Linked DNA regions of Macaca mulatta. The protein of the gene in region 2 interacts with the protein of the main gene of each other region in a pairwise test. Links are inferred from orthologs where the notes say so. Each region holds a gene or a part of one and is shown on either strand. Other genes may lie near its edges.

Evidence for each region. The genes of interacting proteins can lie anywhere in the genome.
Region 1: the proteins of TOP3B (region 2) and uncharacterized protein LOC703872 interact in a two-hybrid assay, tested with the Homo sapiens proteins (2 studies listed by BioGRID and IntAct). The two-hybrid records come from large-scale screens. The link is inferred for Macaca mulatta from reciprocal best matches to the Homo sapiens genes TOP3B and KRTAP4-12.
Region 3: the proteins of TOP3B (region 2) and MID2 interact in binary tests that used the Homo sapiens proteins (3 or more experiments, as listed by UniProt). The two-hybrid records come from large-scale screens. The link is inferred for Macaca mulatta from reciprocal best matches to the Homo sapiens genes TOP3B and MID2.
Region 4: the proteins of TOP3B (region 2) and SPRED2 interact in binary tests that used the Homo sapiens proteins (3 or more experiments, as listed by UniProt). The link is inferred for Macaca mulatta from reciprocal best matches to the Homo sapiens genes TOP3B and SPRED2.
Region 5: the proteins of TOP3B (region 2) and TRIM41 interact in binary tests that used the Homo sapiens proteins (3 or more experiments, as listed by UniProt). The two-hybrid records come from large-scale screens. The link is inferred for Macaca mulatta from reciprocal best matches to the Homo sapiens genes TOP3B and TRIM41.

The regions. Positions count from the first base shown.
Region 1 is NC_133421.1:65,465,721-65,470,330, reverse strand, and holds uncharacterized protein LOC703872, read right to left. Parts: upstream 2,833-4,610; 5' UTR 2,655-2,832; coding exon 1,917-2,654; 3' UTR 1,845-1,916; downstream 1-1,844. UniProt on the Homo sapiens protein: In the hair cortex, hair keratin intermediate filaments are embedded in an interfilamentous matrix, consisting of hair keratin-associated proteins (KRTAP), which are essential for the formation of a rigid and resistant hair shaft through their extensive disulfide bond cross-linking with abundant cysteine residues of hair keratins.
Region 2 is NC_133415.1:31,019,807-31,025,191, reverse strand, and holds part of TOP3B (DNA topoisomerase 3-beta-1), read right to left. Parts: intron 3,886-5,385; coding exon 3,779-3,885; intron 2,802-3,778; coding exon 2,727-2,801; intron 1,924-2,726; exon of another isoform or gene 1,815-1,923; intron 1,324-1,814; exon of another isoform or gene 1,303-1,323; coding exon 1,106-1,302; intron 1-1,105. UniProt on the Homo sapiens protein: Releases the supercoiling and torsional tension of DNA introduced during the DNA replication and transcription by transiently cleaving and rejoining one strand of the DNA duplex.
Region 3 is NC_133426.1:114,596,128-114,602,173, reverse strand, and holds the start of MID2 (putative E3 ubiquitin-protein ligase MID2), read right to left. Parts: upstream 4,145-6,046; 5' UTR 3,514-4,144; coding exon 3,510-3,513; intron 1-3,509. UniProt on the Homo sapiens protein: E3 ubiquitin ligase that plays a role in microtubule stabilization. Mediates the 'Lys-48'-linked polyubiquitination of LRRK2 to drive its localization to microtubules and its proteasomal degradation in neurons.
Region 4 is NC_133418.1:59,260,392-59,266,521, reverse strand, and holds the start of SPRED2 (sprouty-related, EVH1 domain-containing protein 2), read right to left. Parts: upstream 4,145-6,130; 5' UTR 3,769-4,144; coding exon 3,743-3,768; intron 1-3,742. UniProt on the Homo sapiens protein: Negatively regulates Ras signaling pathways and downstream activation of MAP kinases. Recruits and translocates NF1 to the cell membrane, thereby enabling NF1-dependent hydrolysis of active GTP-bound Ras to inactive GDP-bound Ras.
Region 5 is NC_133411.1:190,264,479-190,270,461, forward strand, and holds the start of TRIM41 (E3 ubiquitin-protein ligase TRIM41), read left to right. Parts: upstream 1-1,839; 5' UTR 1,840-2,263; coding exon 2,264-3,364; intron 3,365-5,983.

The DNA of each region.
Region 1 (4,610 bases), on a different chromosome or scaffold from region 2:
AAAAACCAAACACTGCATGTTCTCACTCATAGGTGGGAATTGAACAATGAGAACACTTGGACACAGGAAGGGTATCATCACACACTGGGGCCTGTTGTGGGGGAGGGGGAGGGGGCAGGGATAGCATTAGGACATATACCTAATATAAATGACGAGTTAATGTGTGCAGCACACCAATATGGCACATGTATACATATGTAACAAACCTGCACGTCATGCACATATACCCTGGAACTTAAAGTATAATAACAAAAAAAAGAGACAAATACTTGCATTCTTTTGAGTTTCTGGTTAGTCTTTCCCAAGGAGGCAATCAGATATGCATTTATCTCAGTGAGCAGAGGGGTGACTTTAAGTAGAATGAGAGGCAGGTGTGCCCGAAATAGTTCCCAGCTTGCCTTTTCCCTTTAGCTTAGTGATTTGGGGGACCCGATATTTATTTTCCTTTCACAGCTTCCTAACCTTATTTATCCTGCCTCATGTTTAAAAAGGCATCATAACTCTGTGATTAACATCTGGGCAACATTTTCTTAAGGCCTCAGAAAAAATGTGAAGCTATCAATGATATCTGAACAAATCATCTTAAATTTGATTGGCTCAATAGCTTATAGGGTCACTTCAGAGCTGATAATAGTCAAATAAAAGTAAAAACATCAAGAGCAGGTTCTCCTACTACAATGCCAAGTTATAATCACTTACGATATTACTTCAGATTCAAATGAAGGCACCACTCTTGGGAATTCTAATTAGGATATGCACCCCAGCTGCGACCTGCTCAAAGCTATGAACTAATTCCAATAAAATGATTCTTAAAAACAAAAGTGAGTCTTGAAATTTTCAGCCTTGCTGGGTTTATATATGTTAAAATGTTAAGTGTGGAGATGTTTAAATTATAACATAAACCTGTAGAGACCACAGTCAGAATAGATATCGTTTCATGCTATCCAGATGAAATACAGCTCAATATGCTTTTTTTTCTCAGCAGAACTCACTGGGAAATAAAGTCCACTTTTTAATAATAAATTCCAAAATGTTGTTTATTGAGTGAAATGAATTGAGTACATTAAATTCTTTATAGAAGATTTCCCTTCTTTCATTGGTGTCTACTTTTCAGAAATTTGGTTTTATCTTTTTTTGTCAAAATAGGGACAATAGTATGACAATTAGATATAACGTGTTAAAGATAAAATGTGTTTCAAGAGCTAAGGCATGAATTAAATCTGTCTTAATTTAGGATATTAAAACACCTGTGCACACCCACAAACACACACATACACATATACACACAGCACTTTTATTCCAATACCTTAAATTATGTATATTTTATATAGCATGTATCTTCAAAGTGATTTCAACATGGGTTGCTCTTCCTGTATCTTTGTGTAAAATATAATTGCTAGGGAATCAGTAAAATAATTATGAAAGCAATAGAGAATGATACCAATGAATTCTTACGTGCAGAAAAGTTTATTAGAAAGCAGAGATGCTACAAAGCATAAGAAATTCACACTAGGAGAAACACAGAATATAACTGGGCCCCTGGGTCTGAGGGTGCAACATCAGTGACAAAACTGAGCCTGCAGATAACGTCTACCTCACTGAGAAGGAGAATCTCTACCTCAAAGTGATAAAGAAAATAAGGAAATTAGAGGATTGGAATAATTTCTTAGTTAGTGGATTACAAATTAATTTCTATTTGGTGCTACCACTGGAAGAAAAAGAAAGCAAGGGAGGGAGCTTAAAATGAACCAGAATATTCTCAGAGTCAGTGAAATGGTGATGGGCTCATTGGAAACATGAGGTCCATCCTATTGAATGACATCAACCCCACTCCATGTGTCCTAATAGCCAGCATAGTAGAAGGGTCTGCATCTGTGGGCCAGCAGTGAAGGGGGAGGTGAAGCAGGGCAGGGGGCTCAGCAGCAAGAGGAGGCGCAGCACAAGGGGCGGGGGCAGGTGGAGATGACACAGGTTGGGCGATAGCAAGTGGTGTGGCAGGAGACTCGGCCACAGACTGGACGCAGGCAGCAGCAGGGGCGGCAGCAGCTGGATTCACAGCAAGAGGGGCGGCAGCAGCTGGAGATGCAGCAGCTGGGGCGGCAGCAGGTGGGCTGGCAGCACACAGACTGGCAGCACTGGGGCCTGCAGCAGCTGGACACACAGCAGCTGGGGCGGCAGCAGGTGGTCCTGCAGCAGGTGGTCTGACAGCAGCTGGGGCGGCAGCAGGTGGGCTGACAGCACACAGACTGGCAGCACTGGGGCCTGCAGCAGCTGGACACACAGCAGCTGGGGCGGCAGCAGGTGGTCCTGCAGCAGGTGGTCTGACAGCAGCTGGGGTGGCAGCAGCTGGGCTGACAGCACACAGACTGGCAGCACTGGGGCCTGCAGCAGCTGGACACACAGCAGCTGGGGCGGCAGCAGGTGGTCCTGCAGCAGGTGGTCTGACAGCAGCTGGGGCGGCAGCAGCTGGGCTGACAGCACACAGACTGGCAGCACTGGGGCCTGCAGCAGCTGGACACACAGCAGCTGGGGCGACAGCACGTGGTCCTGCAGCAGGTGGTCTGACAGCAGTTTGGGCTGCAGCAGGTCTCCTGGCAGAGGTCTTGGCAGCAGCCCTGGTCAGAGCACACGGAGCCACAACAGGAGTTGACCATGGTGTCAGAACGGGGAGGATCTGGGTGGGTTTCCAAGAGATTGAAGTTCTTGTGTTTGGAAGTCTTCTGGGTCCATAGCCTCCTTTATACCCTGCTGAAGGCCCATTGCCACCACGTCATTATTTCCTTGTTATTATTTACCTCGTGGAAAACTTAATCATGTAATTACATCATTGTGTGTTTCTAGTTAAATACTCCAAAACTAACCCATTTAAATATTCAAAAAATAACCCATTTCCTTTTCCTGCTGTGCTCCTGTGTTTCTATTGGAAACACTTGTCATATTTCTTCCCTAGTGGGGGTCACCTTTGTCCCTGGTCTATGCAGTGTCTTTTACAAACCGCTGGACACATGACTCTGACACTTTATTTCTAAATGTGATTCTCCCTCCTACCTGTAGATAGCTCTCTACAAATCATGGGGGACACTTTTTATAATGTGAATGTATCTTTTGTTGTCAAAGAATGTCCTGGTCAGATGAGATGTCGGAAAGGAGTTAGAAGGAAGGACTCATTCGGGAGAAGGATGTCCCACCTGTAATGAAGATGACTCTGATTCCGTGTATGCTTCTTGAACGGTTGAGGAGATGGTCAGATCCCAAGGAAGTTATAAACTCTGTGTCAGATCTTATTCCACCACTTCAAGTGAAAGTACTTAGCCATGACTCATTGCCTTTAAGGAGTAAAAACACATTTTTGTATATGTCTTACAGTATAGGCATTAGGAGTAGGAAGTTTTATCTTTGATCATCAAAATTGCATGATGAATTTCTATTTGACAAAAGCATTTGTTATATGTAGACAATGTTTATAATTATTAAGCCTTCAATAATGTGCATCCAAGACATTCTGTTGGGTACTCTGGGTATAGAACGGATAAACCCTCATCTTTTTCCTGCAGGTACTTGTATAAGACACATGTATAAGAAACAGAATTTGGCAAAAATGAAAGGAATCACAATTATGTTCATTAAACAACTACAATAAAAATGTATAGTATGTGGATAAGTTCCATACACCCTCAAGGTATGTATATTACTTGTGAAGTTTTGACTACGTACCAGACATTGTGCTAAACATCTTATATTTATTTCATTTTCACTCTTTAATACAACCTTATAAAGTAGTGTACATTCTTATTACTCTTTTAGCAGAGTACGCAAAAGAAGCATTAAAAAGCTAAAACAAACAAACAAACAAACAAAAAACGTGTCGAAGATTAAAGAGAAAGTAAGCCTAATATGTCTTAGGGTAGCCAAGAAAGAGGTAAAGAATAAAATTTGCCAAACTTGCTGAAACTGTTTCATCTTCTTGGAATGTTTCATTTTTTTTTGTTCATTCTGCAAACTCCTACTCATGTGTCAAAACCAGTTAAAATATTTCCTCCTCAATAATTTTTTCCTGATAAGCTACACCATACATTTATCATTATTTCCTCCCTTGTGCTCATAATTTGATACATTCTACTGTATCATAGTCATTTACTTCTGTCATTCCCCATATGCAATGCAAATACCCTGAAGGCATGGCCTATGACATTTCTTTTTGTTACCATGATACTCAGCACAGAGAACACTGGTGGTAAATGTTTATTGAGTGAATGAAGGCTTTTTGATGTCATAGAGGCATGTAAGGTCCTTTAGAAATGGATATATCTTTTGACTTCTGGATAAAAGAGAGGAAAACATTCCAAACAAGGAGATCAGAGTTTAATTTTAGGAAAACTAATTTCTATGGTAAGTAACATGTCCCCTGATAAACAGTATATGCGGAAAGTTGTGGAAGTTGGGATTCCATTCATAGAATAAGACTTAGTTATAGATAACCAGGAATACTGTGTCATCACATTGTGGAAGGGAAAAGAGAGGGTGAGACAGAGAAAGAGGGAGTCAAAATCATCCTTTTATAAGGAACCCACTCTTGTGATAACAACATGAATCCACTCATGAGGGTGGTG
Region 2 (5,385 bases):
GGCATAGGTGATCTCTGTCAGCTAAATAAACAGTTTTCTTTAGGTCTTTTTGGTTTTTGTAGAGACAGGGTCTTGCTGTGTTACCCAGCAGGAATGCATTAATGGGGATTCACAGATCATTGCAGCCTTGAACTCCTGGGCTCAAGTGATCCTCCCACGTCAGCCTCCCAAGTAACTGGGACTACAGGCTCACGCCACCACACCCAGCTAATTAAAACAAAATGCTTGGACAGGCACAGTGGCTCATACCTGTAATCCCAGCACTTTGGGAGGCTGAGGCAGGCGGATCACCTGAGGTCAGGAGTTTGAGACCAGCCTGGCCAACATGGTGAAACCCCATCTCTACTGAAAGTATAAAAATTAGCCAGGAGTGGTGGCGCATGCCTGTAATCCCAGCTAGTCGGGAGGCTGAGGCATCAGAATCACCTGAATGCAGGAGGCAGAGGTCGCAGTGAGCCGAGATTGTGCCACTGCACTCCAGCCTGGGTGACAGAGTGAGACTCTGTCTCAAAAAACAAACAAACAAAAAAATAAATTTTTGTTTAGCCTGGGCGCAGTGGCTCCCATCTGTAATTCCAGCACTTTGGGAGGCCAAGGTGGGCGGATTGCTAGAGCTCAGGAGTTTGAGACCAGCCTGGGCAATACAGTGAAACCCTGTCTCTACAAAATACACAAAAATTAGCCAGGCATAGTGGTGCATACCTGTAGCACCTGTAGTGGAAGGCTCAGGTAGGAGGATCTCTTGAGCCTGGGAGGCAGAGGTTGCAGTGAGCTGAGATTGTGCCACTGCATTCCAGCCTAGGCAACAGAGCAAGACTCTGTCTCAAAAAAATAATTTTTTTTTTTGTAGAGATGGGGTCTTGTTATGCTGCCCAGGCTGGTCTCAAACTGCCAACTTCAAGCAATCCTCCCATCCTGGCCTCTCAAAGTGCAGGGATTACAGGTGTGAGCCACTGTGCCCGGCCTTCTTCAGGGTTGGTGAAATCCCCTGTTGCTCATCCTGGCTCTGGGAGGCCTAGGGGCTCCTGAGGGGGACCAGTAGAGGCAGGTCTCTGGCTGAGGGAGAGTGAGGGTGTGCCCAGGACTCCGCGGGTGTGGCCAGCACCTGGTGAATGCACAGCCGATTCGCAGGTCCAGTTCCTGGCGAGCATCCACTGAGAGCGCCTCGTTGTGGTCAGGCTCGCCCAGGCAGGCCATGGCATTACAGATGTCTGTGTCTGTGATGGAGCTAAACCTGGCCCGGAACACGGTCTTCTCACCACCATAGGCCTTGTTCATGACGGGCAGAACAGCATCAAGAACCTGGGGGTGGGGAGTGGCCAGCTGTGACCCACCTCCCAGATCCCTGCCACAGCTCCCCACCCCACTGTGAAGCCTGGCTCCTTCCAGCAAAGAACACGTGTGCTCAGCCCCCTCTCCTGCCCGTCAGACCCTCCTCTATCCCCCTGGCTTTCCAGAAGCCCTGAGCACTCCATACCACCCCACCACATGGCTTCCTTTCCTCCCATCTAGAACATATTCGAACACTCCCTTCTTACTCCCGCACTCTCTCTTCTAATCCTCTGCTTTCATCCCCACCAAATCAGGAAATGCTACTGCCAAGTACATGAGGGACCTCTTAGTCCCCAGACCCATCCCACATGACCCGATTCCCTGCCTTCTAGGAGGGAGGGCTTGGAGGGGTGGGTGGAAATTTTAAGAGGCTGAAGAAAAGACAGGGAAGGAGAAAAGAATGAAGGGGAAAGGAAATGGGCAAGAGCAGGAAGGCCACGGGTGGTCCCAGCTTGTGGTGGGGGCAGCTCGGGCTAAAGCACAGCAGGGGTCCTGGAGCCGAGACTCACTAGGAAGGCCGTGCAGTGGGACTAGGGTCGCCGCCGGAGCCTGGCCACGCAGCTTCCTTACTGGGAATAAGTGGCTTCATTTCTGAAGGGAGAAAGCCCCATGAGCTGCCCCCATTCTCCACTCCCAGATGCAAAGGCCCCCAGGGAGGAGCCGCCCTGCAGGGGAGGAGGGAATCTGGGAAGAGACAGAGTGTGATCGCATTTGCTGACGGTGCTGTACTGCAACGCCAGGTGCCTCAGCTCTGTCTCACTGACCACCTCTTGAGCCACAGGCGAGAGCTGGGGGTACAGGAGCACAGGGGCGACCCATAGGGAACAACAGCCTGAAGGGCACCAAGTGAGACCAGCAGGCATGGCCACTGTGAGGGCACCATGGCCAGGGCAAGCATGGGGCATGGGGTGTGCACAGGGAGCTGCCACCTGCTTCTCTGCAGGGCTCCCGGGGTTGGCTGGAGGCGGGAGGCATCCTGGGTGGGGCAGGAGATGAGCAGAGCGAGGCCTGCAAAAGGAGCTCAGTGCTGAGGTCGGGAATCAGCCAGCATCAACCCAAGGTCCCTGAGAAGTCAAGCTGGGCACAGGATGCTGAACACCAAGCTGCCCCATGACAGTCCCATTCTGAAACCTGCATCCACCCAATTTCGCCCCTCCTATGTTCACTCATACTGTGTGGCCCCAGCAAGCAGAGGCACAACTGACCACCTTTAATACAGCCGATGCAGTTAAAAATATCTATGGAATTTCAAAATAAAGGGAGGGGAGAGGTGTTTTTAAACCAGTACAGTTTACTCCCTCCTTTGGCCCCAGGAATGGTGTGACTGCTGGTGTCAGTCTGGGGCTGGCGTCAGAAAGGCCAAAAGTGAGGACCAAACTGAGCCTCATACTCACCTCAAAGCAGATGTTCTCCCCCTCCTTGTCGCAGTCCAGCCACAGCACGATGTAGTCGCAGCCTCTGCCCTCCACCTGCCACACAGCACACGTTCACATGCACCTGCTGCAGACCCAGCCCATGCCACCTGCCCCGTGCTCCCATCCAGGACAGGGCTTGGTCCCAGGCCCTGAACCTCAGCTAGGACGACTGGTACCTGGGCTCAGGTAGGAGGACTGGTAGCTGGCTGTGGTGAGGCTGGCTCAGCCAACAGCAAACAATTGAGTTTATAATTGATGTTTTTTGGACCAAAAAAAAAAAAAAAGTGTAAGTGCAACATGATCTTAAACCCCAAAACTGCCCAGAAAAAGGGTTCCAATGAAATAACCCTAAATGATAACAGCAGTTGTCTTGGCTAATATGATTATGAATAATTTTTTTGTCTTTATACTTATCTGCACTTTCTAATTTTCCATAATCTGTATGCATTTGTTTTAAAATTAAGGGGAAAAAACCCCCAGCCAAACAAGCTTTTTTTTTTTTTTTTTTGAGACGGAGTCTCGCTCTGTCGCTCAGGCTGGAGCACAGTGGCGCGATCTCGGTTCACTGCAAGCTCCGCCTCCCTGGGTCATGCCATTCTCCTGCCTCAGCCTCACCAGTAGCTGGGACTACAGGCGCCCGCCACCACACCTGGCTAATTTTTTGTATTTTTAGTGGAGATGGGGTTTCACCGTGTAAGCCAGGCTGGTCTTGAACTCCTGACCTCAGGTGATCTGCCCACCTCGGCCTCCCAAAGTGCTGGGATTACAGGCGTGAGCCACTGCGCCCGGCCCAAACAAGCTATTTTAAAAGCAGAAGGCCTGCTCTCCAGGACTGAGGGTTGGCACTGGCAACTGCCTTGTGTGTTGGGGGTGCCTGCAGGTGCCTCATGGGCCAGCAGGGGGCACTCACAGAAAGAGCTAGCAAAGGCCCCCCTGTCCAAGGGGGATTAGGACTCACGCAAGGGTGGGCAAGGACAGCTGTGGAGGGTGGGGAGCCCGGGTGTGCTCATGCCCAGGCCAGCCCCACGCACCTGCAGGAACTTCACCATGTTCAGCTTGGGGTTAGCTTCCTTCTTCTCCGTGGGAGCTTGGCTGAACAGTTCTGCGGGGTCCACTTTGTCCCATTTGTTGTATTTTCCTACAAACCAGTCACAGTGACATTGAGTCACACCTCACAGTTCACAGGGGCTCAACCTCCGAGACCATCATAACCCCAGGATGATGTTGGTTTCATCCCACAAATGAGGAGGGGAAAGCTTGGAGAACAATTTGCCCAGGGTCATCATGATGATCAGAGGCAGAGCCAGGATGTGGGTTCAGGCCTTTGGTAACCCCCTTCCCTCCAGCCTCCTTTCTGCTCGGCTGCTGAGCTGACACCACACTCCGGCCAACCACAGGAGCCAAGCAAGCTCTCCGGGGGCTGCCACTCTGGCCTCACTTCCGGGACTTTCCCTGTGGCTGGGAGCATCATTCCTGGGCTGGCTTTCTTTGCCTGAGCACTGGACCCCACCACTGGTGTCTTCATTGACACTTCCAACCTGAGTTTCTGGAACTCCATCCTTCCACCCAGCACTCTGTGGGGGCACACATGTGCGCAGTCATTCCTGTTAAAGGACCCATCTTTTTGAGCCTCATGCCCAGCACATTCACCTACTCATCTACAGAGGCCCAGTTCTTGCATGCTCAGCTGTCTGGCTTTCTTTTTTTTTTCTTTTTTTTTTTTTTTTTGAGACGGAGTCTCGCTCTGCCGCCCAGGCTGGAGTGCAGTGGCCGGATCTCAGCTCACTGCAAGCTCCGCCTCCCGGGTTCACGCCATTCTCCTGCCTCAGCCTCCCGAGTAGTTGGGACTACAGGCGCCCGCCACTGCGCCCGGCTAGTTTTTTGTATTTTTTAGTAGAGACGGGGTTTCACCGTGTTAGCCAGGATGGTCTCGATCTCCTGACCTCGTGATCCGCCCATCTCGGCCTCCCAAAGTGCTGGGATTACAGGCTTGAGCCACCGCGCCCGGCCTGTCTGGCTTTCTTTTAGGCCCATTTCTTTTTTTTTCTGAGACAGGGGTCTCGCTCTGTCATCCAGGATGAAGTACAGTGATACGATCATGGCTAACTGCAGTCTCGACCTCCCAGCCTCAATCCATCTTCCCACTTCAGCCTCCCAAGACTACAGGTGCGCACCACCATGTCGGCTGATTTAAAAAGATTTTTTTTTTTTTGTAGAGACAGGGGTCTCACTATGTTGTCCAGACTGGTCTTGAACTCCTGGGCTCAGGCGATCCTCCTAGGCCCCATTTCTTGCATCCTGGGAGAATGGGGTCAGACAGAGCCAAATTCAAATCCCAGCTCCCCACCTGTCAGCTGGAGATAAAACTTGGGGTCCAAATGCTCAGCCACACAACCCAGTCACCATCATTGTCATCACTGTCATCAATGAGCAGCAAGAACAAGGGCTGAGGCTTTGCCGTGTGCTCTGCCAAGTGCCAAGTGCTCTGCCCTCACTGTCACACAGAATCCTTACAGTCTTGGGAAGCAGATGGCATTGCTGTGAGACCCATTTCACTACGAGAAGTGTAAACTCACAGAGGCTGTCAGTGCCCTCGTCTCCAGCCAGTGAGCTGGCAGAGCAGGGGGAAGAGCCTGGA
Region 3 (6,046 bases), on a different chromosome or scaffold from region 2:
CTACTTTAGGATCTGCAAGTTGAAGCAAGTTGCCCTGCTCTTAGGTAAGGGATTAACTAAATCAATTTTATCTAAATCAATTTGCACCGTTCAGATAATATGTTCATAAAGCAACCAAGTCACTCTGATTTACAGGAGTACTTCCCAGAGGTGGCCTTGCAAGGTACAACATGCCAGATGAGAATTCTAGTAGTCATGAAAACAAATAAGAGGGACACGACCACCCTTTCATGTCCCTAGCCTCTACCCATGTCCTGCACAGCCCCTCCGTGACCTAATCCTGGAGCTGCAAGTATGGAGTTTGGCCTGGAACAGGCAGGAGGCCAAAATACTGGGCTAAATCTGGGGCCTCAGCCCAATCAGCAGAGGTCCTCTGCAGATTATAGGTGCTTAATATTGTTGACTCTGCTACTAGGTGATAATTATGCTTATATAGCCATTCCCCAAATTATTTATGCCACTTTTCATTAGAAACTAACAAACTGCCCTCATATAGGCTAAAAATGGGTGAGGTTATGTCTTCAAATTAGTCTGACTCAGATTGTTAGGTTAGAGTGCATTAGATATGATTCAAGCCCCAACTTAAATGGTCATTATTACTCTGTATGCCTAGTTGTATGTATGTTTTCATTCAGTTGAACATGTATTGGAGACAAAACAGATTTAGGACCTAAGTACAATGATAAGATTTGACTCTGGGGGTGGGAGGCTAATAATGCTAAAGTAAGATTTTCAGTAAGCTAAGATTCCTACTTACACCCAGTCAATCCACTAACTCAGTAAAAGGTAAAGGAAGTGCTTTCTTTGAAAAGTATAATGTTGGCCGGCTGTGGTGGTTCGCACCTGTAATCCCAACACTTGGCTTTGGCAGGTGGATCCCTTAAGCTCAGGAGTTTGAGACCAGACTGGGAAACATGGTGAATCCTGTCTCTACAAAAAATTCAAAAATTAGCTAGGTGTGATGGTGTGTGCCTATAGTCCCAGCTACTAGGGAAGCTGAGATAGGAGGATTGCTTGAGCCAGAGAAGTCAAGACTGCAGCAAGCCATGATCACGCCACTGCACTCCAGCCTGGGTGACACAGCGAGACTTCATCTCAAAGGGGAAAAAAAATTATAATGCTGAGGGTTTACAGAACCCTTTCATCTTCAAAGGACCAAGTCAAGACTAACAATACCCAGTACACAATATTATAGCTTTTACACAAGTGCACCAACTAAGAAAGAAAAGTCATAGGAATGTCCTAAAGCCATAAGCCAATGTAACATCAGATTTGGGATGAACTCTGATCTTCTTGACTCCTGGACCTGTGTTTTAACCACTGCATTAGCTATTCTTGCATTGCCTTAAAGAAATACCTGAAACTGGGTAGTTTATAAATAAAAGAGGTAGGCTGGGCATTGTGGCTCTTGCCTATAATCCCAGCACTTGGTGAGGCCCTCAGATCGCTTGACCTCAGGAGTTCGAGACCAGCCTGAGCAATATGTCAAAACCCCATCTCTACAAAAAATACAAAAATTAGCTGGGTGTGGTGGCATGCACCTGTGGTCCCAACTACTCAAGATGCTGAGATAGAAGGATTGCTTAAGCCCGAGGCAAGACCCTTTCTCAAAAAAAAAAAAAAAAACAGAAAAGAAAAGAAAAAAAAGAAAAGAGGTTTAATTGGGTCACAGTTCTGCAGGCTGTACAGGAAGTGTGATGCCAGCATCTGCTTCTGAGGAGGACTCAGGAAGCTTACAATCATGGAGGGAGGCAAATGGGGAGCAGGAGATTCTCACATGGTGTGAGCAGAAGCAAGGGAGAAAGAGAGCTGGGGGGAAGTGCCGCACGCTTTTAAACAACCAGATCTCAGGAGAGATTACTCACTATCACAAGGACTCACAGTCAACCAAGGTGGTGGTGCTAAACCATTCATGAGAAATCTGCCCTCATGATCCAGTCACCTCCCATCAGGCCCCACCTCAACACTGGGGATTACATTTGTACATAAGATTTGGGCAGGGATAAATATCCAAACTTTATCAAACACATGAATCAAGTTGTGAGGAGCAATCAGGAGAAATCTAATTCACATTATATACCCATGTTAAGTTCATTGATTGGGCAGGAATATATAAAAATAGCAAAGACAGTTTCTCCCTCAGTACAGTCATGAGAGGAGACAGACAGGGGGATGTGAGTGTCGGGGGGGTGGGGAGGGGGAAGCTAACCATCTGGGGTAGAATGAAACCACTCCCCAAACAGAAGAAAAGTAGGGGAGGAGAACTCCCTATTCAGCAACTCCCTTCTATTGGAATATTGCCAGAGAACTGATTAGAGTACTGGGACGGAGCAGAATGGGGTTAAAGGCAGCCCTTCTGGCCCAAGTTGAGAATCAGAGGGATCAACCCACACACGGTACTTCTCTATTTAGTTTCCAATATATTCCTTTATAAGGGCTCATCCTCAGAGACACACAACCATCACCATCTATCCGCCCCACACTCAGAAATCCTCAAAAGGCAAAGTGGTTGAAGAAGTAAGATGCAGCATGGCTGGGAGGCTGGGAGGGCACAGGTTGATGGGGAAAGCCTGGGGTCCAAGGCGCTCTAGTGGGGGATTTCCATAGTCATGTAAGTGTTGTGACATAGGAAGGTGAGTGATCATGAAAACGGTAGGGGACAGTGGAAGAGACAGAGAAAGTAAAGAGTAAAACGACTCCAGGATTTCAATTTCCTGCTCTAAGAAGCAACACTTCTGAAAAATAATGTGCAACACACGAAGTGCTAAGTAACCTAAACCTTATCATCACCAGTAATATTCCTGTAAATCTACTCTGCTGTTATTTACTTAATTCTTACAAGGCAGGAATGGAAAATCCCCACTCTCCCTGGTTGCGTCGCAGTCTGTCCTGTGGACATATGTAAGTTTTCCCTCTCCCCCACAGAGCTGGTTTCACAGCTAGGCCAGAAATAAGGAACCATCCAGACGGAGACTCGAGGATCGCTCCCCTGGCAGAAAAGGGATTAAGTTTCACCGGGCCTCCCCGCCGGCAGGGCGTCCGCAGCCACGCCGGCTGCTGCGACAGCACCGCCCGGCAGACGGCCGGCCAAGGGGCGACGCCGGGGACGAAGAGGCTGCCGGCTGCGGGAGCGTGGGAAGGCGGCCGTGCCCTTTCCCAGACTCGCGCCCAGGCGCCGGAGGATTCGCTCGACTGCCCGCGCCCGGCCCGGCCCGGCTGCGCAGAGGCCTCGGCCGCCCCCGCCCCGCACCCCGGAGTGCAAACTCTGTCCCAGGAGGGCAGTGGCAGGAACCCGAGCCCCAACAGCATGACTGGGAGCCGGAGCTGATCTGGGGCCCCCGTCGCCGTCTCGAGCCTCGCGGGCCCCATCACCCTGCCCCGCCGAGCCCGAGAGCCCTCGGCTAACGCCGGGCCCCGGCGGCACCTGAAAAGCGGCCGGAGCCAGGGCCGAGCCCTGCGAGGGCGACGACGCTCGACCTCCAGGGCCGCGGCGAGGGGGCGCGTTTTACCCATAGCGTTCCCAGGTGCCAGCCATCTCCTCTGCTCGCTCGAGGGCGCTGGGCGCTCGTCTGCCTCCGCAGCGGGCTAGCTCGGGCTCCGGCGCGAGCTCCAGGGCCCCGGTCGCCGCCGCCGCCGCCGCCACCACTCTAGGCCGCCGCCCGCCTTCGCTGCAGCTGCCGCTACCGTCGCCGACGCCGCGCAGCAGCCGGGATCCGCCAGCCCGCGCGCCCCGCAGGGGATAGCACGGCGGCCGCGATGCTACCGCGGCTGGGTCTCCCGAGCTAAAGTTAAGAGTTTTCGCCCCTCAGTCCAGGGGCAGCACCATGACACCACGGCAGCACCACACTGTCATTTCCGCCGCCGCAGAGGAAAAAAAAAGGCAATCCCTTCCAAAAGGGAGGCGGAGTGGGGGCAAACGGGGTTGGGGCTGACACCCCAAGGGAGCACTGGGAAGGGCCAAAGAAGAAGGGGCGCTCGGACACCTTCCCAGGCTCACCTTCCGCCGCCCCCGCCACTCCCAGCTCCCCCAGCCCTTCCTCTGGAGGCACGTTTACATGTCTTCTCCCCTGGCAGGAGTGACCGGAGAAACCTGAGCAAGCAAAGGCAGCCGGTGGGTGGGGCTCGGGTTACTACTGTACCTACCAGCTGATTCCAGCAGCCTTTTCTCCAGCGCCCTGTCATCTTGAAGGAAGACACAGAGAGAGGGACCTGGGCGGGTGTGTGTGTGTGTATGTGTGTGTTGTGTGTGTGTGTGTGTGTGTGTGTGAGTGACAGAGCGACAGAGAGAGCAGAATGTGTGTGAAATGCAGAAGGAAGACTATGGCTAAACTCTTCTCCCACTCCCCACTCCTCTGTCCCCCAGCCCCACAAACCCCAGGTTAGAACAAGGAAGAGGCCTTTGCAACCGGTAATAAGAAGAGAGTGCCCGGGTCCACCGCACAGATCCTCTCCATGAAGCTGCTCTATGCAAAGTTAACTACAGAGTAAAACAAAAATAGTGGAGGAGATAGAAAAGGGCAGACAATTGAAGGAAACCCAACCCCTCTTTCTTTTTACAAAGAGAGAATGGCTGTGTTTTATTGGCCTCGGGCAGAAGTTGTGAAGGTGGATTAAAGCCATCAAAAGAAAAAAAAAAAGCAGGATTTTTCTTGTACCTTCAAATTGTTGACCAGTAAAACAAGAGGGTCGTTACCACAAGGACAATGAGGCAGATGCTAGCTATCCAGGTATTCCAGGTCCCTAATAAGCTAATTGGTCCATTTGGAATCCAGCATCCTCCCATTGGTCTGGAGTGACCCCCACTCAAAAGGTGGATGGGAGAGGGAAAGAGCAGGAAGCCCCATAAGAGACTCTGTTTCTAACTTGGGGCAAAAAGAGAGAACAAGGGGAAAGAAATGAGAAAATGAGAGGACCTGCCCCAGCGCGCGCGCGCGCGCGCGCGCACACACACACACACACACACACACACACACACACACACGCCTGCCATCATTGTGCATAAGAACAAGCCCAGAAAAATTGAGGTATCTCTTGGTATATCCCTTCAGGAAACCAATAGTAATCAGTCAACACTCCTGTGAAACAATGTGCTAGAGATCACTGAGGTGGAAACCAAGGCAAAAATCACAACCAGGCTGCCCTGATGAAAGTCTGGCCCCGGCCGGGCGCGGTGGCTCAAGCCTGTAATCCCAGCACTTTGGGAGGCCGAGACGGGTGGATCATGAGGTCAGGAGATCGAGACCATCCTGGCTAACACGGTGAAACCCCGTCTCTACTAAAAAATACAAAAAAACTAGCCAGGTGAGGTGGCGGGCGCCTGTAGTCCCAGCTACTCGGGAGGCTGAGGCAGGAGAATGGCGTGAACCCAGGAGGCGGAGCTTGCAGTGAGCTGAGATCCGGCCACTGCACTCCAGCCTGGGCGGCAGAGCGAGACTCCGTCTCAAAAAAAAAAAAAAAAAAAAAAAGTCTGGCCCCTAAGAGAAGTAAAAGGTAGTGAGTAACACCTAAAGTCCAGGCAACAAAAGCAAAAATAGGTAAATGGGACCATAAAACTTTCAAACATCTGCACAGGAAAGGACTCAATCAACAGAGTGAAAAAGCAACCTACAAAATGGTAGAAAACTTTTGCAAACCATATATCGGATAATGTGCTAATATCCAGAATGTATAAAGAACTTGTATAGCTCAATTAAAAAAAAAAAAAAAAAACCTCTTAAAAGTGGACAAAAGACTTGAATAGACATTTCTCCAAAGAAGATATACAAGTGGCCAACAGGCATATGCAAAGATGATCAACATCACTAATTGTCAGGGAAATGCAAGTCAAACCCCAATGAAATATCATTTCACATCCATTAGGATGGTCACTATAAAAATAAAAATTTAAAAATTTAAAAAAAAAAAAAACAGAAGAAAATACAGCAAGGTGTGGTTCACACTTGTAATTCCAGCTACTCAGGAGGGGATGCTAAGGCAAGAGAGTCACTTGAGGCCAGGAGTTAGAGATCAGCCTGGGTAACATGAAGAGAACGTGTCTACAAAAAAT
Region 4 (6,130 bases), on a different chromosome or scaffold from region 2:
GTCCTGTACTATAAGCTTTACCTAGGCTATCGCATTTAATTCTCAAAGCAGCTCCACAAAATAGGTAGTGTCTATTATCATTTTGTCCACTCCATATAAAACCAACATGACATACTAAAGTAAACTGCCTTAGATCATAAAGTGATAAAAATGGCTAAGCCTTAAGCCTTAAATATATGTTACAAATGCATTTAACTTGGGGTCTTCTATTGGTCTCTGGCTGAATAACCAGTTATAAAAGACATTTTTGCAGACAGTTCAGGCAGAGTGTTAAAGACATCAGGGAATTATTAATTTTGTAAAATGTGATAGTAGTATTGTGGTTTCACAGAACAGTATTTTTATTTCTTGAGAAGTAAGCTCAATTATTCAGGTACAAGAGTCCCAATGTCGGCAATGTCTTTGAAACGCTTCAGCAAAAATACTTATGCCTGTTTTATTAATGGGAAACCTTTCGACGTTAGGAAAAATATGACTGAAAGGGAAGCTGCAAATCCATTCCCAGCAAAGAGTGAGTTACAGAGAAGAGTTCATGAAAGGAACAAAAGAGAAAGCTGAATGGCAGCTCGATGTCTCCAGGGTTAGAGCTTGGTTCAGGAAGGTTTATCTTGTCTGCGAATTTCCAAGCCATTCATAGCCATGATCAAATGCTTTAATTTTTAAAAAACTTCCACTCCTATGCGCAGAGGACGACTTACAATAGTTTGCTGATGCTCTTTACTTCTTAAATTATATTTTTAAAAGTCTGTAGAATTGTAAATTTTAACATGCATTTTTGTGGGGGGGGGAGAACGAAAGAATGGTCAATGTATTTTCTATATGCAAGGTATCTTTTGGGACCATCGTCAACAAGAGCAAAGAGAGTTTCCTGAATTACCATATATTAGAAGAACTTTAAATTGACATGGAAAACAACATTAGAAAACAAAACTGTTTTTAAATTAAGCACAGTTTTACCATTTGCAAGATTCTGATTTACTGCATTCTGATGCTAAATGAAACATATTATCTGGACCATTCCACAAAAGCTTTACTATATGTAGACTATCAAGTCTATTTTACCAAAAGTACAAATACATCTTCCCTAGGTCTCCAGTTTGATGCCACAGTTCTCTTAAGTAACAACCCCTGCCTGGTTCCAAAAGGTATCTGAGAGACCTCAAACATAAAATCATTACAAGAAAAAAATAGAACAAAATTCACCCAGAGTAGGAATCTAGCAAGAACCTAAGCAAATATGGCTACCTTAATCAAACAATAATTTTAGCTCTGGACTTAAAGACAGTGGCAGCAAACAACACCTGAACAACAAAAAAGCAATCACAGCAAGCTCTGTAATTCAGAGAGAGAAACCTTACTGTCACTAACACTTAAAAGGAATTTTTCAGATGCGTCATTACACAGGTACGTTGAACATAATAATAGACGGTAGCTACCATGGCAGTTTACAGCCCACGAAGTCGCTTTCTTCTCAGGCATGTAAAGTCTCGTGCCAAGGTCATCACATTAAAAATAACCCCTATAGCCCATTTCTTCAGTGGCTAAGATGCCAAGGCTTTCTCAGCCTCTAAGTGAAACTACAACTCCTCAAATATCTATCCTCTCAACTGGACTTGTGACAGCAGTGGAGGCTGCAGCTTCATGCTGAACTTGCTCTGAGAGCCTAAAATGGAACTATTCTTTCCTCGCTGGTGATCCCACTCGAAATCCTTCTGCTTTGGATAGCAGATGGAGAAAGATGCAAGGCTGACAAGCTGCCACAAAAAGGGCCAGGTCAGGCCTGTATTCCCAAGGAGTGGAGCCAAGGTAGAGCGGTCAAACCTCTCCAAGAATCTGCAAGGCCAGAGCACAGCAACCAACCTCACTGCCACTGCTGCTACTCTGTGTGCAGGTACAATCGAGGGCCCATAAAAATACTGATTTATTGGCCACGTTCACAAGGCAGCAAGGCCCAGAAGCATAATCCTTCTCTATATTTCAGCGCTAAAAGCGCAACTTTTTTTTCATTTTACCATTTTAAGATGCTATATACGAAGACAAAGCAAAACGTCTGAAATAGAAACACCAGCAGATGTGGTGGGACATCTGCGACAGGCACACCAGCAGGGATCCTCTCCTGTGACGGGTGTCTGGAAGATCAGGGGTTACTGCAGTCAAAGTTCCCTGGGGACTCACAGGAAGGAAATTGAAATTCCTTTCCCCAAACAGCAGCCCCATTCCCGCCCAGACTGGCAACAGCAGACGCCAAAGGATAAAGGGGGTATATTTAATAAAGTGAGTAGATTTCTTAGAGTAGAGCACAACACTGTCACCTGCTGCAAGAGACAAGCCTCCCTGTCGCCCAGCCCTGAGTCACTTCCCCTCCCAGCACTCTTGAGGCCCAATGCCTGCGGGGGGCAAAAGACCTGGGGCCTCTGGAGCACGCCTCCCGCAGCCCGCACTCCACTGCTAAGACGCGCGCGGGGCCTCCCTCCAGGGCGCGTCCCCGCGGCTGCCAACCGGCTCTTTGAGCCCAAGCCCGCGCCGCCACTACCTTGGCTAATGGCAGCACTGAATGAAAGGAACCGATGCAGACTCCGGATTTATGAATGTGCAGGGGAGGAGGGGAGGGATATCATGTGACAATAAAGGAGAGCGTCTTATTCACAAAAAAAAAAAAAAAAAAAAAAGTGGCTGGTGGCGGGCACAGCCACTGAGCAGCAGCGGCGGCCGCCGCGCGATGACCGCTCGGACCCCAGGCAGAAGACCTGAGGTGTCGGGCCCCGCGGCCCCGCCCCCGTCGCACCCGAAACAGAAAACGCCTCGGACCAGGAAGAGAAAATGCCAAACTGGACCCCTGGACCGCGAGGCAGGAGGCAGCTGCACCTCCGCCCCGGGCTGGCGACAGTCACGGGTCCCGCGCGGGGCTGCCCGGGATCCCTCCGGCGGAGCGCCCCAAGCATTGTTCCCCTCGGGCCTGCGGGCCGGGCACAAGCCCGTGCACGCGCACCCGCGAGGACACACACACACACTCGCCCCCAGAGCGCTGCCCCGCACGCCCCCGCCGCACTCGCCTAGGTCCGCCCCGAGGCGCCTGACCCCGCAGGACGCGTGTGCCGACCACAAGCGCGTGCACAGGCACTCACGCACCGCGGGGCCCCTCGGGCGGCTCCAGCACGCCGGCCCGCGCGGGGACCCTGGCGCACCAGACCCCAGCGCAGCCCGCGCCCGTCCTCCTCTCGCTCCGCCGTGTTTTTTATGAATGAAAATGTGGTATGCAAATGAGAGCGATTCAAGAAAACGAAATGGCGGAGCCTAGGCCCCAGTGGGCTCAGGAGCGGACTGCGGGGCTCGCGGCGCGGCGGGAGTCACAAAGTCACTGTGCAAAAACCCACCGGCCCCGGGAAGCCGGAGTGGGGGTGTCAGGTCTTCCGCTCCAGCCGCCGAGGATTTCGGGGGCGGGGGGGTGCTGTGAGTCCTCGGAGAGGGAGCGGGGACCGCCCGGAGGTCACCCGCACGCCCTTGGCCCCCGGGGCGGCCACCAGCCCGCCGACCCTAGGCGTGCGCCCGCCAGCCCGCAGCAGTTTTTGCCCCCTCCTCACTTCAACAAGCAGGGAAGCCTCGCGTCCCAACCCCGACAGGTCAGCGAGTCGCTGCACCCCACGCCAAGTTCACCCAATAAGCGTCCCCGCCCGCATCCTCAGCCCCGGCCCCCACGCTGCCCCCGCGGGGCACCCTCGTCCCACCCCGCGACCAAACTTACTCGTCCGGGTGTGTTTCTTCGGTCATTTTCTTGTTCACCTAGACGCCTGTCCCGCGGCGGGCAGCTTTGCTCCCTTCATCTTCCTGTCCGCTCGCCCCCCTTCTTCACATCTCCGGAGATCGCCTGATTTGGGGAGGGGGGGCGGCTAGAGATGGGGGCGCCGCAGCAGAAGGGGAAGCAGGGAGCGGGGTGAGGTTTGGGGGAAGGGGTGCAAAGGCAGGCTGCAAGGGGAGTGAACGCCGCAGCGCCGTGGGGAGAGGCGGGCGGAGGCTCCGGGGGCTCGGGAGCGGGCAAAGGGGGCGAGATTTGGGAAGGGGACGGCGGTGGGGGAGAGCAGGAGAAAAACAAGCGCGCCTTGGAGCGGCGGGGACTGCTGCGAGGAGGAGGAGAGCGCCGGCCGCGGGTGGGGGGACTCGGTCCGGGGTCGCCCCCGGGGGGCCGGGCCAATCACGGTTCCGGGGAGCGGTCGGCGGCCGGGGGAGGTGCGCCTGGGAGGCAGTGCAGGGCGCCCCGTCCGAGCCCCATCTCTCGACTCCACCGATTTACTCCATATTGGATTCTCACCGCCGCCAACAGGAGGAGGAAGTAGGGCGGAAGCGATGACGTCTTCCCAGCGGCCAGAGGTGGTGGAGTGCAAAAAGCTTCCTACTTGCGACCGAAAAAAACGGGAGAAAAAAAAAAAAAAAACTTTGTCCCGCCTACTGAGCACGCCCGGCTTCCTCTCCCCCTCCCTCCTGGCTTCCACTCCCGGGGGAGCCGCGGAGCCGAGTTGTTTGCTTTCGCCGCGACCGTCTGGCTCCGAATCCTCCTTGATTAGGGCTCCGGGTTTTAGGAAGCCCGAGAGGAGAGAGGAGGCGGGAGCGGAGGACTCTTACACATCTGGCTCCCGTTTTTGCCCCCTCCCTCCTTCCAAACCCCAAGATTAAAAATCGGGGGGTTGGGCGGGGGCGGAGATGCGAAACTCAAGGGAGGGGAGGGAGTGAAACAGCTGAAGAGGTGCTCAGGCTCAGAGGAACAACTACCCCCACCGCAGGGTGGGAAGGTAGGGGCGGCGCAGGTGCCAGGGGCTGGCTTCTCTAACCCAACCCAACCAGAAAGGAGAGGGGGTTCGACTTTACCAAGGTTCTGAAAGGCAGAGGCTTTTCCGTTTCACGTGAATCTTGTGATTTTTTTTCCTTTTTTGTCTCAATAGAGGAACGGATTTTTGTTTTGTTTTGAGATGGAGTCTCGCTCTGTCCCCAGCCCAGGCTGGAGTGCAGTGGCGCGATCTAGGCTCACTGCAACCTCCACCTCCTGGGTTCAAGTGATTCTCCTGCCTCAGCCTCCCAAGTAGCTGCGACTACAGGCGCGCGCCACCACGCCCAGCTAATTTTTGTAGTTTTAGTAGAGACGGGGTTTCACCGTGTTGGCCAGGATGGTCTCAATTTCTTGACCTCGTGATTCGCCCGCCTCGGCCTCCCAAAGTGCTGGGATTACAGGCATGGGCCACCGCGCCCGGCCAAGGAACGGATGTTTTTAAGAATCATTACTCGTGCAAAGCCCAGCACAGCCCAGAAACGTTTGCATTTCCGTAGAAATTATGGAAATTCTCGCGTTAAGAGGCAGCCCCGGCCGGGCGCAGTGGCTGACGCCTGTAATCTCAGCACTTTGGGAGGCCGAGGCGGGCAGATCACCTGAGGTTGGGAGTTCGAGACCAGCCTGACCAACATGGTGAAACATCGTCTCTACTAAAAATACAAAATTAGCTGGGCGTGGTGGCGAGTGCCTGTAATCCTAGGTACCCGGGAGGCTGAGGCAGGAGAATCGCTTGAACCCGGGAGGTGAAGGTTGCGGTGAGCCAAGATTGCGCCACTGCACCCCAGCCTGGGCAACAAGAGCGAAACTCCATCTCAAAAAAAAAAGAAAGAAAGAAAGAAAGAAAAAGAAACAAGGGACATAGTCCCTATCCCTTGCTGCTCTCCAAACATAGTAGACTTTTCCATCCTCTTGAATGTCCACGGGACAATCCAGATATGATGTTAACTAAATAGCAACCACTGAACATCAGGTTAAGAGATTAAATATTTGCCTCAGGCTGGGCGCAGTGGTTTATGCCTGTAATCCCAGCACTTTGGGAGGCCGAAGTGGGCGGATCACCTGAGGTCAGGCGTTTGAGACCAGCCTGGCCAACATGGCAAAAACCTGTCTCTACTAAAAATACAAAAATTAGTTGGGTGTGGTGGTGGGTGCCCATAATCCCAGCTACTCCGGAGGCTGAGGCAGGAGAATTGTTTGAACCCAGGAGTCAGAGGGTGCAGTGTGCCAAGATTGCACCATTGCACTCCAGCCTGGGCAACAAGAAGAAACTTTGTCTCTAAACAAATAAATAAATGCCTCACATTTAGTATT
Region 5 (5,983 bases), on a different chromosome or scaffold from region 2:
TGACAGGGAGTCGAAAGCAGGTCGCAGCGAGGCAAACGCGGAATCCTAACCCCTAAATATCCCAGCAACGTGGGAGTGAATCAATTAGGTTTTGACGCTCACAAACGCCTGGGGTCATCCTGCGGCCTCACCCCGGTTTCGGCAAACCATGTTGTTCCCTCCAGCACAGCAAGTTTCCGACACGGGGGCAGGCCGTCTGGTAAACAGAAAGTGCCTAATATGTGCTGCCCGTGGGCGTGTGGGTTACAGCAAAGGATCATGCATGCAGAACCCGCGCTGCTGGCCTGAAGGAACTGGTCCGCAGGGACCTGCTTCTCATTCTTGCTCGGAGAGTTAGCGAGGGTTGTGAGAACTCTGCTCCGGGGCTTCCACACAACGATCAAAGACCACCCAGTTAAGCCCAAGCTCTAGCCCACCCTTAACTAATCCGCTACCCACTAGATCTTGGTCCAGAAGATACCGTTCGTGCACTTAACTAACACGGCTTGCCTTACCCTTTCCAAAAGGAACTCCGCCCAACGTGGGGCTCGAACCCACGACCCTGAGATTAAGAGTCTCATGCTCTACCGACTGAGCTAGCCGGGCAGCTTGGCCAACGTTATAACTTTGTCTCTGAAGACGGAGGTTGCCCGCAGAGGTGTAGGCACGTTTCCACTGTACAAGTACTAAGAAGCGCCTGCGCCTGGCTCTGTTCTAGGTACTAGGGCCGAGGATCTGAAATCTACGGATTCCTTTGCATGTGATGGCTGCATAGGCTTCAGAAGGGAAGAGCAAGAGATTAGGTGAGGTGTAAAACCTGAATTTACACTGCGAGAATTTATTAAGGACGTGGTATGAGTTCGTGTTCCTCCGAAGCGCAGGCCACACATGTCCTTCCAACCGGGTGACCTGGCCTCGGGAGAGAAATTCTCCTGAACAGGCCCAAAAAAAACGTGTTTCCGCCCGGTTTCGAACCGGGGACCTTTCGCGTGTGAGGCGAACGTGATAACCACTACACTACGGAAACTGCCTGAGCTAACGTTCCTCCAGCATCGTCCTGAAGATACACGTGGCTGCGAAGGCCAGGAAGGCGCTAGGCCCTCGCCCTCGTGGGACAGACCCAGGGACCCCTGCCGCGGCCGGCTAAGTGGTGTCCAGGTTCTGGAGCCAGACTTGTCTACCGCAGCCGGGTCCGCAGCTCCTGTAATGGCCGAGCATAGTTCACCCACGAGTGTTCGTGGTTTTTGGCGCGTTTGATCTGACATCCTCAGAGGCCTGACCAGGCCCCTCTAGGAAGCACGACGTCCCCCTGGAGTTTTCCCGCGAGCCGCCTCTCCGAGAGCAGGGTAAGTAGGTCCTGCAGGCCCAGCCCTGGCGTCACGCCGTGTCTGGCACTCACTGGAGATTCTGTACATAAATCATTGCCTCGTCATTTTCCTCGCATCAAACAACATTTATTTGTTTTTTATTATGTATCGACATCAAATCTCTATAAAAATAAATTTTAAAGAGCTATTTAAGCACCAAGTATTATTTCTACTGCACAAAGCATCTATTTTTGCGGAGATGCTGTGCGAATGTAGATGTAATGATTCGTCACCACTTCTTTACTTCTGGGCAGTTAGGGAAGTTCATCTAAACCATGAGACTGTGTCCGGTTGGCAGTTTCCACCTTGGATGCGGAACGCCGACTACAGTTGGGGAAGGGTTGGGCGTCTGCGGCCCGATCGGCCAAGCGCTTTCTCAGGCCCCGCCCGGGGTCCGAGCCGTACGACCCTCTGAGTCCTCCACAACAAAGTCTTCTGCCTAGAAGGGCCGGAAGTACTTCAGGGCGCTCCGCGGACCCACCCCCTCGCTTCCGGCATTGGCGGTGCGGCGTACCGGCTGCAGTCGGCTGTGTCGGGAGGGTAGGATGGCGCCTGGCCGATGCGGTCATAGCACCGAAAGCAGACGGCCACCAAGCGCTCCCCCCACCCCCCGAAGTTTCTCCCCAGCGGCGGGGGATGGGGGTAGGCGGTTCCTCTGTTCTTTCTGCGTTCGCCGCGGTCCCGCACCACAGAGACGTGGGCCTCCACCGTCCTAGCCCTACCGCCCTGTTCTGTAGTGCGGGCTAGAGCGTCTCCTTGCCATTTCCTGTCGCCCTGGGGCCCCGCGGGGGAAAAAGGGGGAGTAGCACGACAGCGGAGGGAAGTCGAGAGCTTAGGTGGTGTGTAGACGCCGGAAGTATTGGGAAGGAGGCCGGAAGCTAGGGGCGGGGCCAGGAAGTGAGGAGGGGCGGGGGTTTATGAGGAGTCCAAGGAGCATAGGGGCAGATTTGCACTCAGAGCCACCTGAGGGACTTGGCGGTGGTGCCCAGCACTGTCCCCTCCCCTCGCAGAGACGCGGTTGTCGTTTGGGAGTAGGGAACACTGTGTGGCGGGGTGGGTTGGCGGGAGGACATCTCTCTGGCTGCCCTTGGGGCGAGGTGTGGAGGGGCAGGGCTGGGGGTGGAGCCGGGTCGCCAGGGCGTCGGTGGGGAAGACCCCCGCCCCTCGCCCCCCCACCGCACCTCTACACTGGCTGGCTGGACACTAAGATGGCTGCCGTTGCCATGACACCCAACCCTGTGCAGACCCTTCAGGAGGAGGCGGTGTGCGCCATCTGCCTCGATTACTTCACGGACCCCGTGTCCATCGGCTGCGGGCACAACTTCTGCCGAGTTTGTGTAACCCAGTTGTGGGGTGGGGAGGATGAGGAGGACAGAGATGAGTTAGATCGGGAGGAGGAGGAGGAGGACGGAGAGGAGGAGGAAGTGGAGGCTGTGGGGGCTGGCGCGGGGTGGGACACCCCCATGCGGGATGAAGACTACGAGGGTGACATGGAGGAGGAGGTCGAGGAGGAAGAAGAGGGTGTGTTCTGGACCAGTGGCATGAGCAGGTCCAGCTGGGACAACATGGACTATGTGTGGGAGGAGGAGGACGAAGAAGAAGACCTGGACTACTACCTGGGGGACATGGAGGAGGACCTGAGGGGGGAGGATGAGGAGGACGAGGAGGAAGTGCTGGAGGAGGATGAGGAAGAGGATCTAGACCCCGTCACCCCACTGCCCCCGCCTCCAGCCCCTCGGAGGTGCTTCACATGCCCCCAGTGCCGAAAGAGCTTTCCTCGGCGGAGCTTCCGCCCCAACCTGCAGCTGGCCAATATGGTCCAGGTGATTCGGCAGATGCACCCAACCCCTGGTCGAGGGAGCCGTGTGAGTGATCAGGGCATCTGTCCCAAACACCAAGAAGCCCTGAAGCTCTTCTGCGAGGTAGACGAAGAGGCCATCTGTGTGGTGTGCCGAGAATCCAGGAGCCACAAACAGCACAGCGTGGTGCCATTGGAGGAGGTGGTGCAGGAGTACAAGGTGAGAGAAGTACCGAGAGAAGATGGGAGTTTAGTCGGGGGCGGAGAGGAAGTAAGGGGAGCTGAGGAAAGGAAACATCTCTTCGCCCATCAAAGAACCTCATGGTATTGATGAGCTGAGTTTGCTTGTCTAAGCACTTACTGCCAGCAAGGTGGGTTAGAATGAGAAGGATTCTGTACGCAGAGCAGATGCAGTGAAGACGACCAGTCTTCATTTGCTTTGATGGCTTCCTCAAAGCCAATAGAGCAAAGCCGGTGATGCCAGATCAGGTCTCTAGAACTTTACCAGCAGTCTGGCTTGCTTTCTGGTGAGTCTTAAGTCTGTCCTTGACGGAGACACCTAGAGATGGAAAGAACTGGGGGCTTCAAAGGACAAGGAAAGGCTCGGAAGCAGGAACAGAGAGATAACCGCTAGTGTCAGTGTCAGACCCAAATGCCCTGCCCTTGCCTCCCAGTGGGTTCCCCACCCACCACGATGTGGTTTGGTTCTGCCTTCAAGGACTTTTGTTGGCTCTGTGTCACTCTTCTGTACTGACTAGAAAAGAGCTTTTCAGTCAGAAGACCTGGCTCTGCAAGTCGCACTGTCAAATCTTGTTTGTCTCTGTGTGTCTTTGAACTTTAATTTATCCAGGATTGATAGTTAATATTCTCTGGACATTTGTATGTATACCAGGCACTGTACTAGGCAATTTTCATGGACCGTCTCTTTAAAACCCAAACAACACTGTGAGTTTGATATGTTTTCCATTCCCATTTTATAGATTGGGAAAGAGAGTCAGAGGCTTTAAGTACCATACAGAGGACCACAGAGCTTCAGTAATAATTGACTTAGTTATTTGCTGACCCTTCCCCTGGTGTATACTAACAACGCCACCACCATTTGGATGTCTGTTGTTTGACTTTTCTGATGTGACTTTCTTGGAGTCTGATTCTAGTTTGACAAATATCTTGCCCCTACTTCTCATTTTGACTTTCCTTTGGACATAGGTAAAGGAGATTTGTCTGCAAGGCAGCCAGCACAAATAGCACTACTTAGTGAAGGCCTGGATGGGTTTGGAGCAGTGGGACCAGGAGGAGGAGAGGGTAGCCTCTGTGTGGTCTGCTCAGAGCTTGTTTGTTTTATGACTCATGTTTTCACACCTGATTTCCTGCCATAACTTCATTTAGGTACTGTTTTTGTTACCCCAATTTTAGAGTAATGTGTGTAGGACTTCTCAGCCCTGAGTGGTACAGCTAGACAAACCTACATTACTTCGTCACAAGTAACTATTGCTTCTACGGAGTGATTTTTTTTTTTTTTTTAATTTTTTGAGACAGAGTCTCACTGTGTTGCCCAGGGTGAAGTGCAGTAGCATGATCTCGGCTCACTGCAACCTTCACCTCCCGGGTTCAAGTAATTCTCCTGCTTCAACCTCCTGAGTATCTGGGATTACAGGTGCCACCATACCCGACTGATTTTTGTATTTTTAGTAGAGATTGGGTTTCGCCATGTTGGCCAGGCTGGTCTGAATTTCCTGACTGCAGGTGATCCACCCGCCTTGGCCTCCCAAAGTGCTGGGATTACAGACATGAGCCACCATGCCTGGCTACACGATGATTGTTTCACCTGCCTGATTGTTGGAATACTAGGAAAGGTTTTGAAAAATACAGTGGGTCCTTCCACTAGAGTTTGTGAATCAGTGAGTAGGAGAAAATCTTTAAAAAGCCCAGTCTAGCATGGGGACCACTGCGTTGGTAACGTTGCCTAGCTATTCGGCCCTACATTTTTAGCAGAGATTGTGAGCTCCTGTTGTCCTTTCTTTTTATCTTCTCAGTTCCTAATTAACCATAGTCATCATATCATGTGTGGTCACTTTCTGACCAGGAACCCAGGCCAGACTATCCATGGACATTCCACCCCTTCTCTTTCACCTCCCCCTGTAGGACTGCTCCAAAGAGCTTCTGAAACTGGATTTTAATTTGCATTGGCCAAATCTGTTCAATGCCAGCTGCCTGAAAATCCCATATTAGGTCCTGAAGTAGGTGAGGAATTAAAAAAAGTCATAATCTCTTTGCTTTTTCTTTTATTTATTTATTTTTTGAGACAGAGTTCCGCTCTTGTTGCCCAGGCTGGAGTGCAATGGCACGATCTTGGCTCACCACAACCTCTGCCTCCTGGGTTCAAGCGATTCTCCTGCCTCAGCCTCCCGAGTAGCTGGGATTACAGGCATGTGCCACCACACTGGCTAAGTTTTTGTATTTTTAGTAGAGAAGGGGTTTCTCGGGCCGGGCGCAGTGGCTCAAGCCTGTAATCCCAGCACTTTGGGAGGCCGAGACGGGCGGATCACGAGGTCAGGAGATCGAGACCATCCTGGCTAACACGGTGAAACCCCGTCTCTACTAAAAAATACAAAAAAAAGTAGCCGGGTGAGGTGGCGGGCGCCTGTAGTCCCAGCTACTCGGGAGGCTGAGGCAGGAGAATGGCGTAAACCTGGGAGGCGGAGCTTGCAGTGAGCTGAGATCCGGCCACTGCACCCCAGCCTGGGCGGCAGAGCAAGACTCCGTCTCAAAAAAAAAAAAAAAAAAAAAAAAAAAAAGAGAAGGGGTTTCTCCATGTTGATCAGACTGATCTTGAACTTCT